Linked DNA regions of Arabidopsis thaliana. The protein of the gene in region 3 binds, or shares a complex with, the protein of the main gene of each other region. Each region holds a gene or a part of one and is shown on either strand. Other genes may lie near its edges.

Region 1 (5,003 bases), on a different chromosome or scaffold from region 3:
GAGAAGCTGGAGATACCGTTTGCGAGAAGAGACGCCATTGTTGTTGGTGTGGCTCTTAGGAGAAGTAAAAGAAGATTGTTTTTTTTTTTTTTTTTGGAGTCGTGTGTTAGAAAAAAAACAACGATTAGGAAAAAAATGAAGAAGAGATGAAATGTTAATATTTATGGAATTTTCTGAGCCGTAGATTGAAGATAGTCTCGTGTCAGCCACGAGACGATTTTTTTGTTGGATTTTCACTTTTCAGCTCAATTATAAACCACATACGTTTTCCACTAACTAATTATAAAAAAAAAATAACGTTGATCTCTTCTTTATTTGTTAAAAATCTCTTTTAGATATTAGATATTTTTTATACTTGGACAAAACAAACAAAGATATTAGATATTTTATAATCCGATTTACGGGTTGGTTTCTTGTTTTTGTTAATGAAAAAAAAAATTAGTTTGATCTTTTATTTCAAAAACTTAATAATATTTTATTTTAAAATTTGTTGGTTCATTCATTTCAGTTTAGTTTGGTACACTGAAATCAGTTTTAATTCTTTTTTTTTCTCATCTGAATTATATTAGAAACTAAAGTAGAATACAAGTTGAAATACATAAGCCAACAGACCAACGGAATATTTTGAGAAACTTAGCTGAAAAAAAGGAAGTAAAACCAAAAACATATATAAGGAAACATTTTAAACCAACGAAATTGAATCAAGAGACAAAATTCAAAAGAAAATAAAAAACTATGGGAAAAATAAGACCTAAACTTCTCCTAAAAAATGTGAACGCCGGAAACACCAATAAGATCGGATAGATTTTACACCGAAGTCAAAACTAATAGTAAATCGACAGAGAGGAAAGCAAGAAGCCGCTGAAACCAGAGACATAAGTACAAACACCATCACACCTCACCCACCAGACCGAGATAGCAAAATGTACTAGGGACAAGGCATAAACCTTGAAGATCTACTAGAGATAATTAAAGCACTAGACACAATCAGTATCGATTCTACTTGGGTTAGCTGATTTTCGAGCCATAAACTATTTCGATTCTCAGCTTTCACCCCCGGACTTTTGGGCCCTTAAATTTCCACCATCAACTTTCATATTCCCAAAATTACATCATCTACTTTCGGATTCATGCTTAAACATACATTTCCAATTGAACCATTCATTTAACCGGGATTAACCACAAATCCGCGTTTACTGTACCGCGATTGCGATTAACCCGACTAATACCCAGACCCGTTAAGAAAACGACGTCGTTTTCATTTCGTTTAACTCATCAAAAAGAGAAAGAAAACGACGTCGTTTTCATTCTTCTTCTTCTGCAAAATCGATTTGGTCGATTAGGGTTCTTCATTCGACAATTTTATAAGAAAATGAGCACCAACAGCTACTACTCATCCGCTTCCAGTTCAGGATTTCGTGTCTGTCCTCCTGGTGTCCCCTCGAAATGTTGGTGTGGAGAAGAGATCATTACATTCACATCGAAAACAAAGGAGAATCCATACCGGAGATTCTACCGTTGTGCGATAGCAATGAAGGTACACATTTCGATTTTGTGATATATTTGATTGATTGAAGGAGTAAATGATTGGAAATTATGTTTTATAGAGAGAAAATGAAGAGCACTTGTTCAAATGGGTTGATGAAGCTCTCTTGGACGAAATTAAGATGGTAAATGAGAAGTGTAAGAGAGTTGTAGAGAATATTAGTGACCTCAGAATGAACGTGATGGCTAATATGGAGCTCCTTAATAAAAACGCTAAGCAGATGGAGGAAGAGCTGATTAAGAAGATGGAGGGTGAACTCTTGACCATGAAGGAGAATGTGGAAGAGCTAGGACATGTTATGGCAAAGTCAGCTTTGAAGACTGTAGGGGTTGCTGTTGTGATTGTTGCATCTATTGTATGGCTTTGGGGAAGAGTGTAGGTGTTGTTGAGGTTTTGGAGTGAAATTGTAGTATTGGATTAGTCTCTGTTATAAAATTGTCGAATGAAGAACCCTAATCGACCAAATCGATTTTGCAGAAGAAGAAGAATGAAAACGACGTCGTTTTCTTTCTCTTTTTGATGAGTTAAACGAAATGAAAACGACGTCGTTTTCTTAACGGGTCTGGGTATTAGTCAGGTTAATCGCAATCGCGGTACAGTAAACGCAGATTTGTGGTTAATCCCGGTTAAATGAATGGTTCAATTGGAAATGTATGTTTAAGCATGAATTCGAAAGTAGATGATGTAATTTTGAGGAATATGAAAGTTGATGGTGAAAATTTAAGGGCCCAAAAGTCCGGGGGTGAAAGCTGAGAATCGAAATAGTTTATGGCTCAAAAATCAGCCACCCAATTCTACTTCAGTGTTTTTTTTTTTAATTAGTTGTCAATTAATTAAAGCAGTAGGTTTAAAGAAACAACAGAAATCGTTCCTTACGAATTCTATGGAATTAGGGCCCAAAAATCCAAAGGAAAGGCCACCTTAAAAGCCCATTTTAAAAATCTTCGAGCCCAAACCCAAAACGCAGAACGAAGTTTATTAAGAACAACAAAACGCCCCAATTCGCAGCGATTATCTGTCGTTGCCACACCCAACAGACTCTGCGTCGCCGGAGAAATCTTGTCGACGGGTAAGTCTCTTCGTTAAAGCTTATGCTTCGTTAAATCGATTAGGTCAATTTTTTCCCTGAGGATTCGCCATTTTGATCCTCTCTGAAATCCAACTGGTTTTAAGTGATTTATGCTTTGGCACTAGTTTTGTTGAGAATCTTGTTTGATAAATTCAGGAATTGACCACCAATTTTGTGCCATTTGAATCTCCTAGATCCTCTCTGAACGTTATATCTTGCTTTTGAGTATATGTTAAAAGTCTAATATGTGATTGATTACTGTAAATTTTATACTTGTTCAAGGTCTTTTAAGGTTTTGGAAGATGGATATAATCTCACAGTTGCAAGAACAAGTGAATACGATTGCTGCTATCACTTTCAATGCTTTTGGGACACTGCAAAGGGATGCACCACCAGTCCAGCTTTCACCTAATTATCCTGAACCACCCGCTACAACTACGGTTACTGATGATGCTACGCCTTTTCCTGAGCAACCTAAGCAGCTCAGTGCTGGCTTAGTTAAGGCTGCTAAACAGTTTGATGCTTTGGTTGCTGCACTTCCTTTGTCAGAAGGTGGTGAAGGTGCTCAGCTCAAAAGAATCGCTGAACTCCAGGTCAAACAAGTCACACCGATATGTCGAGTTCTTGAATCCGATTACTTCTATTTGTCTAACCGCTTTGTCCTGTTTTTTCTTCAGGTGGAAAATGATCTTGTTGGTCAAGAACTCCAAAAGCAACTAGAGGCTGCAGGTAAAAAACGATCTTAGGTTTTCACTTCATTGTTGGTGTGTCTTATCTGTCTGTAACTGGAGCAGATTCATTATGCACTTCAAATTTCAATTTGTATACTTTCTTGTTGATACACGCACTATGGTTAGATGTTATCTTTAGTGGTTCTAGAATTTGGAATTTTTGTTTTCCCTTGCAACTGCCTCTGACGATTGAGCTGATGTTAATGGTGTGACCTTGTTTGTGACAGAGAAGGAGCTAAAGCAAGTACAAGAGCTGTTTGGACAAGCTGCTGACAATTGCCTGAACATGAAGAAACCTGAATGAAATGCTTGTTTACCTTTTGTCGAGCTGATTTAGAAACTATATGATTTGGTTCAGCAACAATTATCTTTTAGGTTCATAAGGAATATCTATTCTAAGTTGGTTCACCAAAAAATTGTTGTAGAAGCAATTACAAGAATGTTAGTTAGCTCACAACAACAGAACCATTATTTTAACCTTACACTTTTTTGACCTGTCTGATTACAATCTCAGAGAATCCACTTTATCATTTTCACAATTACAGGCCATGATTGACACATCATGTTTGATTCTCCGGGCAGTGTTGGTCAAATTACTATGATGGTCAAATTACTATGAACTCTGGTATCTGTCACATTCAATCCAAGTTGCTGAAAAGAAATGACCAGTCCATAAGTTGTGGTCCAAAACCGGATCTTGATTGTGTATTTGTACTCAAGCATGTGAAGATATCCTAACTCATCATCCTTCTTGCGCTCTCTCACAAGACTTGTATAGAGTCCAACAATCTTTTGTCTGCGTGATGAAGCTTTAGGATGAAAAGAAAACTTTAGCCAGTCCGATCAATATTATAAATTAACAATTGTATAAATTTACCAATATATATATTTATATAAATATTATATGTAAAATATTTAGTGAAATATGACTCTACTATTGTTTTTCTTTAATTTTTATTAATTTTTTGTAAAGTTCAATTCTAATACTTTTACTATGTGAAAAAAAAAAATTGTATTTTTTTTTTAAACTTAATAATTGTTTTCTACTTATAATCGGATTAAGAAAGATTATTGATTATAAAGAAAAGATCACTTTTAAAATTAAATTTTTGTAAGAAATTATAAAATTTGTAAAATCTCTTTATAAATTGATAATTATTAATTTATCCATAAATTAATTAATTTTCTCGGTCCCAAACAATATTAACTTATAGATGTTTTACGGTAGTTTGTTGATGAAACACTCATATTCTTTTTAGGTTTCTTCTTGTTGGGTGCTTGAGAAAATGCAGACCGACTTTCTTCGATGATATGTTGTACATCTTTATCATCTATTGGAATTTTTTATATCAATGCCTTGGCACCTTCTGAATCCCCTGCAGCTAGTAGAACCTGATACATCCTGCCAAACCATAAACAAGAACCAATGATATACCGAAAACCTCTTGATCTTTTGGAAACTGATGATCTAGTTATCAGAATTGACTGCATCCTCTTGAAACTAATCGAACCCGTAAATCGAAACCCACAGGACATTGTTGAAGAGGAAGACGTTGAGGCAAAGGTGGCTGTAGCAGAGGGTGCTGTAGCAAAGGTGGCAGAAGTGGTTGTAGCAGAGGTGGCTAAAGCTGAAGTTGTGGCAGACAATCCACGTAAG
Region 2 (5,333 bases), 230 kb from region 3:
AGGAGTACCCATTTTCCCAAACACATTCAAGATAACATTATACGTTATCAAAGTCGGTTTACAACCATCTTCCTCCATCTTCTTGAACACATTTACAGCTTCCCTATACCTTCCGCTATTAGCAAACGCTGATATCAACGAAGTATAAGAGTAGACATCAAGCGAAAACCCGTCTTCCTGCAAACCATTGAACATATTTGCAGCGGAAGATACTCTGCCTTCTTTACCTAGCATACTGATGATTATAGCAACAACAGAGTTATCCAACATGGATTGATAATCCTTTTGCTTCATAAACCAATCAAAAGCACGCAGAGCCAAATCGAATTTCTTATGAAATCCTAATCCTTTAAGAAAAGCTAGTAACTCCGACGAGGTAGACTCTGGTTTATCCTTAAAAGGCTCGAATAGCTCAGAGAGTACAGAATCTAATTGACCGGAATCAAAATTGGGTTCGATGAGGGAACGAAGAACTTGCTGACCTTGTGGAGAAAGACCATGGTAAGACCAAGGTTTACCGAGGTTAGGGTCACGTGACTTGCCAATTCGAGTCCGGTTACGGTTTCTAGATGTTTGAGAGCTGATGGGTTGTCTGGAATTAGGGTTCTGGTGAAGGAAAACATCGTGGAGGAGAGGCTCTACAGGCGGAGGAGGTGGTGACGAAAGAGACGTAGTAAGAAAAGGCGTCCGAGAGATATGGTGGTTTTGGTCGTGAGAATAAGGTTTAGAGGAAGGAGTGCAGGGAAGGAGAAGAGGAAGAGCTAGCTTGTCCGCCATTAGAGGTAGTAGTAGTAGTAGAAACTAGAAAAGAACCAGGAGGCAACCGAGAGTGAAAGAAGAAGAGAAATGAATGGATATTTTTGTCAGATTTTTTTTATTATATTTTTTTGTTCCAAGAACACAATTTTAGTTTTATTTCCCTACAATTATATTCGACCACGTGGCTAGTCCAGATTCAACAGGTTAGATCTAAATGGGCTACTACTTATTTTGTCAACCCATTATATTATTAGAAGCCCAAATGGAACAATAAACTGTACAATAAAGAAATGGGCAGAAAGAGCCTCTGATATGTATGTATGACCTAAGAGGGATTTTACTTTGTCGTATAGAGAGATCGATCCAAAATGTCAAGTTGCATAACTCCAATAGTTGAACATTCTGAATTTTACTAATAATTTGAAATTTGAAGCTAAAGAATGATTCTGGAAAAAAGATAACCAATAATTCTGTAAACTGAATTAGAATCCAGGGTTTTCGTAAGAAACAACTTTGATACATCAAAGATACTGATAACGATGAAGCATATACTAACATCTATCCACATAAAGGCACTGCTAAACAAAACGAAACCAAGTAGAAAATCAAACTTGATCAAGAATTAGCAGTAACATTGGTCAAATCATTACCTTACAGAGAACCATCAATCACAATGTTGATTAATCCTCATCATCTGAGCTTGCATCATCGCTGCTGTAATCACTGCTATCATCATCCTCCAAAATGTCAAGTTGAACAGCTCGGACCTGTATGACATCAGGCGGTCTGTGGAGTCCCTGAGAAGGTCTCATATGTTGATGATCCTCTGCTCTAGGTGCAGCAATTGACTCCAGTGGCGGTAACACAACTGGGTCGCCTGGTTTCCATCCAGGAGGTGGCAATGGTAAATCTCTAGGCAATTCGACTGGCATTCCTGGTTTCCATCCTGAAGGAACTGCGATATTCGGCGGAAGCAGGTTGTGAATAGCAGATATATCCATAGCTTCTGGTGGTGGTGGTGGCTCAATCAGTGCTTCAACCTTCTTCTCCATGTTTTCTACTGTTTTCGGCAGACCGATATCAAGATCAGCGAAAGTGTAGAGCTGGGAAGCTCTCATTTGTTCGTCTTGTGGAGCTGGTGGTAATGCACCACGGAGAGGTGCTTGCCCTGCACCGAATTCCGGCGGAGCAAATGTGGTGTAGCTAATCTTGTGAGCGTAAGCTAATATGTCCTTTAACTTGAGCTGAGACGAAACTGTGGTTGAAGAAGAAGAAGACTCATTATCATTGTCTTCGTCATCTTCTTCAATTTTGCTTCGTTTTGGTTTGCGGTAATCGGAGTAGTCGTCAACAAGCATATCGAGAACACGTTCTGCATCCTTGAGTTTGTTAGCGAAAGCGAGAAGAGATGAATCTTTGGATTTGATCTCACGCGCCACCTTCTGCTTCGCGTCTTGCAGATCGAGGATCTCTTGAAGCTCTGTAACGGCTTCGAAGAGCTGAGTCTGGAGGGAATTGAATTGAGAGAGGATCTCCTTCGTGGATGAAGGACTAGGGTTTTCAAGCGGCGGCGGAGGTGGTAACGAGTGTGAGGAGAGGAACGAAGGGAGAGAGCCACGGAAAGCTGAGAGCCAGATAGCTCGATTGGGAGAGACGTCGAAGAGCTTAGATGTCAAAACCGCCATCTGCTGGAGAAGAGCTTGAGCTCGCGGTAATGGAGGAAGGAGCGATAGCAAGGCGGAGGATGAAACAGCCGCCGAAGCTGAGGCTGAGGAAGCGGCGGCGACGGTGGAGGAAGGAAGTAGATTAGGCTGTTGTTGGATCTGTTGGTGCTGAGATTGGGAAGATGAAGAAGAGGTTGGATGGCCATGACGAGTAGGCGTCGGATTTTGTACGGAAGGAGAGCCAGGACCTGTTAACCCTAATCTCGCCGGAGATTGTACGATCTGATGCTGTAGCATCTTCGCCGACGGCGAAAGAATCTCTTAAATCGAAGATAATTAAAGAGACGAAGCTTCTCTTCTCTGTTTAGTGTTCAACTGTTTATACAAAATTCGCAAACCCTCAGTATCAATTAGAAAAGTCTAAAGACCCGCTAAAACCATACCGATACGGTTCAATTTCCTAATTACCATTAACCTGGCTTTCGAACAATTGTTATTGACAATAACAGAGACGAATCATGGACGTTAACGCTTGATACAAGTGCAATACAACAGAGTTATGTATCTCACTTCCGAGTTAAGTAACAATTTGCTACTGTGTTACATAGCTTTTGGTTAAACAGATAACCAGAAAATAACCAATCAGAGAACGAGGTAAAGAAACTTACATATTACAAAAGGCATGAAAAAATAATTATCAAAAAGAAGATACAATTGGTAACCATTTTCTACACACACATACATATATCTACCATTCACACGACTGGTTCTGACCGAAACTGCATATGTTCCTCTTGTTTGTGACGACGACTCAGTTATGTTCTCCTCAGACAACAACCGTAGAATGCATCTGACACAATCCACCATATACAGAGATCAATAGCAATTTGGTAGACCGTAAGAGCAATATTCTTAAGACCTTAAGGGTAGTGTAATCAGAATAATAGCAGCAACGCTGAGAATATAACAGTTATGATCTACAGATCATTCTTATTATGACGTTCGATCATGTGAGACAATAACTACAGTAACAAATGAGAAACATTAAGGTGAAAACCTTAGTGAACTGTGGTGTTAGGTTTCGATATAATCTATTAAGTCAATGCGAACGTTCTTATTATAGTGTTTTATATTGGTGTCGGAGGGATGCGGTATAACACCAAACTTACTTGATAGCTGGTAGAGAGTTGTTGCGAGCAAGAAGTCGTCAAGAAGATATATAACTTGTTGAGTGCACAAACAGCTAAGAGCTTAAGTGTTCATGACCTTCCTCTGCAGCATCAACATATTCAGACTAAATTATGGTTAGATTATATCTCATAGAGCACAACAATCCTCATTTAATCATTGGAACGGTTAAAAACATAACACACTAAAGGCGAACTAGTCTTAATTTCTATAGTTAAACTTCAAGGCAGATAGTAAGTAGGTTTGTTAGCTGTTAGAGACTTTTTCTCACTCATTCTTATCACGAAAAGACAAATGTGCCTCACATACTCAACGAGCACAGAAGTAATGATAAAATTATAACTTACAGTAGGTTCAAAGTCAGGGTTTGACAAGTTCACTGTGAGGTTTCTCATCAACAGCAAAACCTGCAAGAAAAACTGTGATTAGTGACGGATACTAGGAAAAAGAACAATCACTGACAGCTACAAATAGGTACCATGACACCTAAAACTGACTCATGGTTGTAACAATCCCATTATTTGACCAACATCTCCATAGAATCATGGTACTTTGGCTTTTTGGTGTTTCCAACTCGTGAATCTATATATTGCAAGTACTGATCTTTATATTTATCTTCTCACACAGCTGAATTTATTCGGGAACTCAAAGAAGAAGACTAAATGATTGATATGCTGCAACACACATATCAGTTAATCTAAAGGCAAGTAAAGCTCCAACTCACAGTTTCGAAATTTATAGGATCCATTTCCTTGAGCTTTTTCATGCGGCCTTTGCTGTCAGGATCGAACACACTCCCAATGAAGTTATAAACCTCAGCAAAATCAGGAAGACCTGCAAAGCAACCATTACAACAGCGTCCACCACAAAATGAAAACTAAGAAATAGTCCCTCAATTGTTCAGATAATTACCATGCATTGAGGGAGCTTGTTTCGCCAGTCTCAAACCCTTAGAATCTGATAGTGTTCTGCTTGAGCTTCCGATACCAGATGCTGAAGGACTAGTTTCACTTATCATGTCATTTGATCCAACATCAACTGAAACAATGATATGTAAGCCGCATTTAGCATATGAAAACTTCAGAAGATAGAGTGACTAGACTACCAAAGCAAAATATAAAAACTGAGTACAGATGAGAACGCATGCCTTCTGCTCCACAAAGAGTATCAAGTTCATCTTCTGGTGGAATAACCCCACTTACAGCAATGTTTAACAATGCAGATGTATCATCATCCCATGGAGTATATCCAGGCAGGTTATTTATTTGAGTAGGAAAGGACATGGAAACGTGAAGCGACATTTGAGCTGCAGATTTGAGTTGAAATCAGATTGATTACATGTTACTCCATCTGTCAACCCAAAGTAATATCTATTACAATAGAACTAACCATTTTTCGATGCCTTTTGAGGATATGGATGAGCAGCTTTGCGCTTAGGCCTAGGGGGTGGAACATGTGCTAAAGTCCCATTTTTTTGGACCTTTAGAAAGTATTTTTGGGCATGGCTCCTGATCTGCAGTAAATCAAACAGGCACAGGATGATTGAGTGGGGAAATGTGCCAAGGTTGTATATTAAACCAAAAATCCAAAGAAGCTGATCTCAAACCTGAATAACTGTCTTTGAACCAACAAAATCTTCTATCTTTTTCCAGTCACGATCAAACCTAAGGACACGAGAAAATTGTCAGGACAAAGTAAGATTCTTTTTTCTAAAAGAGAGAG
Region 3 (5,546 bases):
GTCCTCCTAAGGCTTGTCCTGAAGAAAACTCGGCCTTGCAGATTGAACATTCATGTGTTTTCTCCGGTTTCTTGCTACCATCACTACTAGTCACTTGTAGGGAAAGAAAGCTTCCTACGGCTCCAGCTTCCACTGTTTCAACCGTAGACGCAGACGCCGTTTTCTTCTCGACGCATTTGAAAACGCTAGCTCCAAGTTTTGGCTTCTTGTGACTAGCCCTGTGCCCTCCTAGCGCTTGGAACGAATGGAAGCTTTTATCACACGTTTTGCACTGGTAAACACCGTCTAGCCCTAACCCTAGAGAAGCCACCGGTTTCTTGTTGCTAAAGAAACCCATTCTCTGCATCGACAAATGATCGTCGCTGCTCTTTGCTTGATGTCCTTGCGACAACAAGATCAGACAATTCGCCATATCTTCGTCTTCATCGGTAGCTCCTTGGAATTCTACTTCACCAGCAGCTTCTTCTTCTCTTACCTCCACTGATGATCGTTCACCGCTACAAACGCTGGATACTGCAGCAGCGTTCATCATAAGAGGAGACGCAGAACGCTGACGTTTGGTGCGTTTGCCCTTGATGAGGAGAACAAGACGCGCGTGGTCTCCACTCTCCTCAAGAACACTTGTCATGATCCTCCGTTTTTTATTTGCTCTCTGTATTTCAAGAACACAAGAGGTCGTATATGTATATATGGAGAGAAGTATCAAAGAGTGTTTGGTGGGTTTGGTTTATATGTCTAAGTATTTATATATATTTGTATGTGATTGTATTTGTTTATACACACAATAGTATTGTGTGTATATATAATGTAATGGGTAAGAGAAAAGATGAGAAAAGAAGCAAACCCAAAATAACTTTTGGTGAAGGATTCCTTTCTGGAAGTTTTGGTTTGCAAGCCTGGAACCACTTGTTGTTCTCTTCTTGTTTTTATTTTTTTCCTTTCAATTTTTTTTAAATGATTTTCTCTTTTTTTGGTTAACTTTTGTTTTGCTTGTCTTATGAATCACATAAAAAAAAATACTAGTATTTTACTTATTAAATACTCATAAGCATCCTTATAATTTCAAAAGACACACATCATTATAGCTAAAGTAACAAAAATGTGGATTCAATGTCAACACTAATCTTAGAAGATGTTATTTTATTTTCTTTCTGAAAATGAAATTAAATCTGTGTTTTCTGTTCAAGAAGGTGTCATTCTACATATACCATTTTTTCTTATTAATAAAATGAACTACAATTTTGACACTTGGAATGTAATGTATTATATTAAGAAGAATCAAACTGGATTGCGTATTCTAAATATGCCACTCAATTTATTGATTTTTTTTCCTTTGATTTCACATTATCACTAACTAAAATCCTAAAACTTTATAAATAATTTTATATTGATGGCTTGAGTCATCCACAAGTAGTTTCAACACGAAACACAGTACCACAACACACACAATTCAAGCATATTATAAATTCCTGCAAACTTATTACGTTTTGTAACAAATTACATTAAAGATTTGAAACCAACTATTATATATAAAAGCTACTAAAGTACAAATTTAACTTGAAAATACGTCGAATTCTGTTTTTGTTTCTTAATACTACTAATCATTGCGGATATATGTACACTTAAGTTGCTGATTAAATAATTAAGTTAATTAATTGGAAAGTAAAAGGCAATCGAATTTTGGGGTCGAGCAGTTCATGTGCAGTTGAGCCAACCCACAATTACACAACACACAATTATGAATCATGATTCTAGTTATGTATACAATATTTAGTTATAATGATATTAGCTAAAACGAATTAAATATATAATATCACTCCCTATGTTTGCGCCTCTTTCTAAGAAACTTTGATTTTTATTTTGGTTATCCAATTATTTGATCAAACCATTATTAATCTTGTGATTAGCTAATAATATGTATTCGATGAAGTAACCTCCCTTATCGTAGTTTGTAACTGTAGTCTAGGTCTTTGTAGTATAGTATACTAATAAACTCGGTGACAGCAATTTATAAAATTCAAGAAACACATGTTTTTTTAATATTCATTCTACATAATGAGTTTCTTAGAGCTGGATTGATATCCAACTTTTACTCATTCAACTCTATACACATTAGTTGTCTTTGGCTCTCAATGATTATCTTTTGCTAACGTGTTACTATACATACAATAGATCATTAAGAAGAATATTTTTGAGTGTATTGTGAAGCTAGTATCATCACAATTTTAAAATGAATAAATCAGGAGGAATTGATTTAAGTCTTGGCGTCGAGGATTGTGTGTGTGAAAGAGAGATAGAGAATTGCTTGGCCGCCAAAAGAAGCCATTACTTGCCAACTAGCTAGCTTCACTACTCAACCTAAGCAAAGCATATACTTTATAAATAAATAAATAAAATCATAAACATAATTAGTCGTCACCCATCATACATTCATCATCACCATCCTAACAAAACCTTTTTTACAAGGCTTCTCAAAAACCGTTAAGTAGTTGTTGCAACTTGCAAGGATCACCTAAACAAATTATACCGAAACTTGCACAATTGAATTCCAATATTTTAAAAACATTTTTCTTTTGTCATTTGAAGCATATAAAATGGTTCTGAATTCTGATATAGGTGGGTGGAACAGAGTCTTCCCCCATATAGCAAATCCCTCAACGGCTCTAGAAATACGTTTTAAGCTTCACGAGGAATAAGAAGATTAGGAATATATGGGCTTAAAGCAGGCCTGAACTAAATTAAAGGCCCAACTAAAAGAGAGGAAACAAATCTCGATTTGCTTTCTCTGGTGAGCGTGTCTTCTTCCGATCGTCTTCTCCGGCTGCGTGAATTCTCCGCCGAGCCATCTCTCTGGCGAATCTCCAGTGAGTTCTATTATTTTCACTCTGTCTTTTATGCTTCCCGTGAAAGGGATTTTTTTATTTCTCTCCCTCAGATTCTCCTTGTCGCCACCAACTCATTCGTCTCCCTACCCATTTGTGGCCACTGGATTTTTTGTATTGACCTTTCTTTTTTCCTCATGAATCAATTGAAATCTACTGTTAAGCATTTGACGATTTTGGACAAATTGGTGGTGATTTAGGAATAACACGGTTGTGGTGGTGGCGGCTACTTCAACGTGACGATGACAGATTAGTTTCTAGTGATGACAGATTAGTTTCTAGTGGTCGCAGAGTTATTTGGTAGTGATGACATAGTTGTATTCTAATGAGAACAGATTGTTTTATGGCGGTAGACGGATTTGTTTTTGATTAGAAACCCTAATTTTAGGAATCTGTTACTGATTTTGCTTAGTTTTTGATTTGGATATGTAGAGAATAATGGCTACAGCTACATATCCACCTCCTCCTCCATATTACAGACTCTACAAGGATTTCTCAGAAAACACTGATTCTGCTCCTGAACCTCCTCCTCCGATTGAAGGCACCTACGTCTGTTTTGGAGGCAACTATACTGTGAGTCTCCTCCACATTTCCCCCTCTTTAAAATCTTCATCTTTATGTGTTTTTAGCAATTTTCAATTTTTTTGGTTAGTAGACTGAAGATGTTCTTCCAAGCTTAGAAGAACAAGGAGTGCCTCAACTTTATCCAAAAGATTCTAATCTTGGTATGTCATTCTCCTAACTCTGTGAAATCAAACTCAAAATGCAATTGCTATTGGCTGTCTAGAGTATGGTTTTTGGTTCTTCCCTTCATTGGAATCAAACTTATTACATGAGTTCATTTGCAAGTTATGTTCTTTGAAAGTACCTCTTTGAGTTCAAATATCTTTGTGTGTAGATTACAAGAAGGAACTCAGGTCACTGAATAGAGAACTACAGTTACATATATTGGAGCTTGCTGATGTTCTTGTTGACAGACCTTCTCAATATGCGAAGAGAATTGGTGAAATTTCTTCAATCTTCAAGAACTTGCATCACCTTCTCAATTCCTTGAGGCCTCACCAAGTAAAGAAGCTCTCATCTTTCGATTAATTACAACATGGTTTCAACACTTTTTGTTTTTTCATCGTTTTGATCTTTCTCTTGTTGTATAGGCGAGAGCAACGCTTATTCACATTATGGAACTTCAAATTCAACAGAGGAAACAAGCTGTGGAAGACATTAAGAGGTTTGTATATGCTACTTAAGTTTTCTGTCTTTATGGTGTGTTAATAATTTAATATCAATCTATCATCTGTTTAAAGATTCTTCAGAAGCTTTGTTGGTTGTTCTTATGGGTCCGTTTGATGTTTTGGTTGTGTGCAGGAGGAGAGAAGAAGCACAAGGACTTCTTAAGGATGCTTTCGTCACTTTAGATGGTCAATAAAGTATACTTTTTGTTAATCCCATTTTGTGTAAATTAGCGCTAATAACCTATGCCCTCGAAACTTTTTTTAATTGATCCTGTGTGTGTGAGAGAGAGAGACAGACGTGTGCAATCTCATGATTCAACAAGTAAAGCCTATATCATCTTTATTCAATGTTACCCGTGAACCGGCATTTAGTTCCGCCGGTTAGTGCGGTTCAACATTTATTATTACAATTTCGGCTTAACGGGAACTATTATAACCATAACGGATTCATAAGAAGATTAGACCAATATGGGCTTAACGCAGGGCTAAACTAAATTGAAGACCCGACAGTTTGTTCGTAACTACACGTAAGTATCTGAACAACAACAACAGCTTTATAAGGGAATCAACAAAAAATAGTTGAACAAAAAAAAATTAACCTTGTTCAAAGCTAAATCCTGTCAAATATCTTTGGAACCCTAGCAGTCGGTCTTGTCAATTTATCATCAGCATGGACGAATCCGCCATCAAAGTAATCTTCTTCTCCTTATGGACTCTCCTCTTACTCACTCTATTTCTCTTCACAAGAGGATGGAGATGAAGATTAAGATGGATATGGACAGGAGAAAGAGGATGGAGATGGAGAATTAGGAGGGAGATGGAGAATTAGGAGGAGACGAACCTCTTTGTTTTTTTATAATGTATTTACCTTTGTTTGTTTTTGTCTTTGCATGTTAAAAGTAAGTAAGCTCAGTAATCATCACCTGCCTTGATCATGTATGATATGTCATTCTCTGGATGTTAGAAAAAAACAGTAGTAAGCTTAATCTATTAACGTTATCTGCTTTCGGTATTACAATGCAACCTTGTTTTCTAATTTTTAACAAAAATGGATCCAAAGCTATCTTTGAAGGTGATTTTAAACAAGTCATTCAGTTGGTCAACGGGAAGAGTCTTAATTTTGGATTCGGGAAGCAAAAGCCTGGCGACATCGGTTTGAAGATATCCAGTTTGTTTGGACTCCAAGATCAAACAATAGTCATTTTATTATCATTTTTATGCTCCACAATTTATTATTGATGCGCTACATTACCAAGTACTACAAGCTTCAACTTATAAAAAAAGAAGAAGATTAGAACCATATGGGCTTAAACGTAGGCCAGAACTAAATTCAAGGCCCAACAGTTTGTTCGTAACTCATACACACGAAATGTCCCAAACCAGAATAAAATTAGGGAATTAACGAAACAAAAAAGACAAAGAAACCTAGTTC

What was found. The genes of interacting proteins can lie anywhere in the genome.
Region 1: AT5G03500 (region 3) and MED21 share a complex: the UniProt entries of both Arabidopsis thaliana proteins name them as parts of the mediator complex.
Region 2: AT5G03500 (region 3) and AT5G02850 share a complex: the UniProt entries of both Arabidopsis thaliana proteins name them as parts of the mediator complex.

The regions. Positions count from the first base shown.
Region 1 is NC_003075.7:2,429,748-2,434,750, forward strand, and holds MED21 (mediator 21), read left to right. Parts: upstream 1-2,504; 5' UTR 2,505-2,615; intron 2,616-2,897; 5' UTR 2,898-2,917; coding exon 2,918-3,208; intron 3,209-3,292; coding exon 3,293-3,344; intron 3,345-3,573; coding exon 3,574-3,650; 3' UTR 3,651-3,888; downstream 3,889-5,003. Other genes in the region: ABCI8 (ATP binding cassette protein 1), read right to left, coding at 1-38; AT4G04775 (zinc ion binding protein), read left to right, coding at 1,373-1,537, 1,608-1,925. UniProt on the Arabidopsis thaliana protein: Component of the Mediator complex, a coactivator involved in the regulated transcription of nearly all RNA polymerase II-dependent genes.
Region 2 is NC_003076.8:649,546-654,878, reverse strand, and holds AT5G02850 (hydroxyproline-rich glycoprotein family protein), read right to left. Parts: upstream 2,832-5,333; 5' UTR 2,721-2,831; coding exon 1,440-2,720; 3' UTR 1,116-1,439; downstream 1-1,115. Other genes in the region: AT5G02860 (Pentatricopeptide repeat (PPR) superfamily protein), read right to left, coding at 1-777; LCL1 (LHY/CCA1-like 1), read right to left, coding at 3,667-3,717, 3,959-4,018, 4,336-4,445, 4,524-4,649, 4,759-4,917, 5,001-5,124, 5,218-5,275. UniProt on the Arabidopsis thaliana protein: Component of the Mediator complex, a coactivator involved in the regulated transcription of nearly all RNA polymerase II-dependent genes.
Region 3 is NC_003076.8:875,435-880,980, reverse strand, and holds AT5G03500 (Mediator complex, subunit Med7), read left to right. Parts: upstream 1-2,605; 5' UTR 2,606-3,207; coding exon 3,208-3,231; exon of another isoform or gene 3,232-3,314; coding exon 3,315-3,455; intron 3,456-3,537; coding exon 3,538-3,607; intron 3,608-3,780; coding exon 3,781-3,947; intron 3,948-4,036; coding exon 4,037-4,110; intron 4,111-4,247; coding exon 4,248-4,308; 3' UTR 4,309-4,541; downstream 4,542-5,546. Other genes in the region: AT5G03510 (C2H2-type zinc finger family protein), read right to left, coding at 1-628. UniProt on the Arabidopsis thaliana protein: Component of the Mediator complex, a coactivator involved in the regulated transcription of nearly all RNA polymerase II-dependent genes.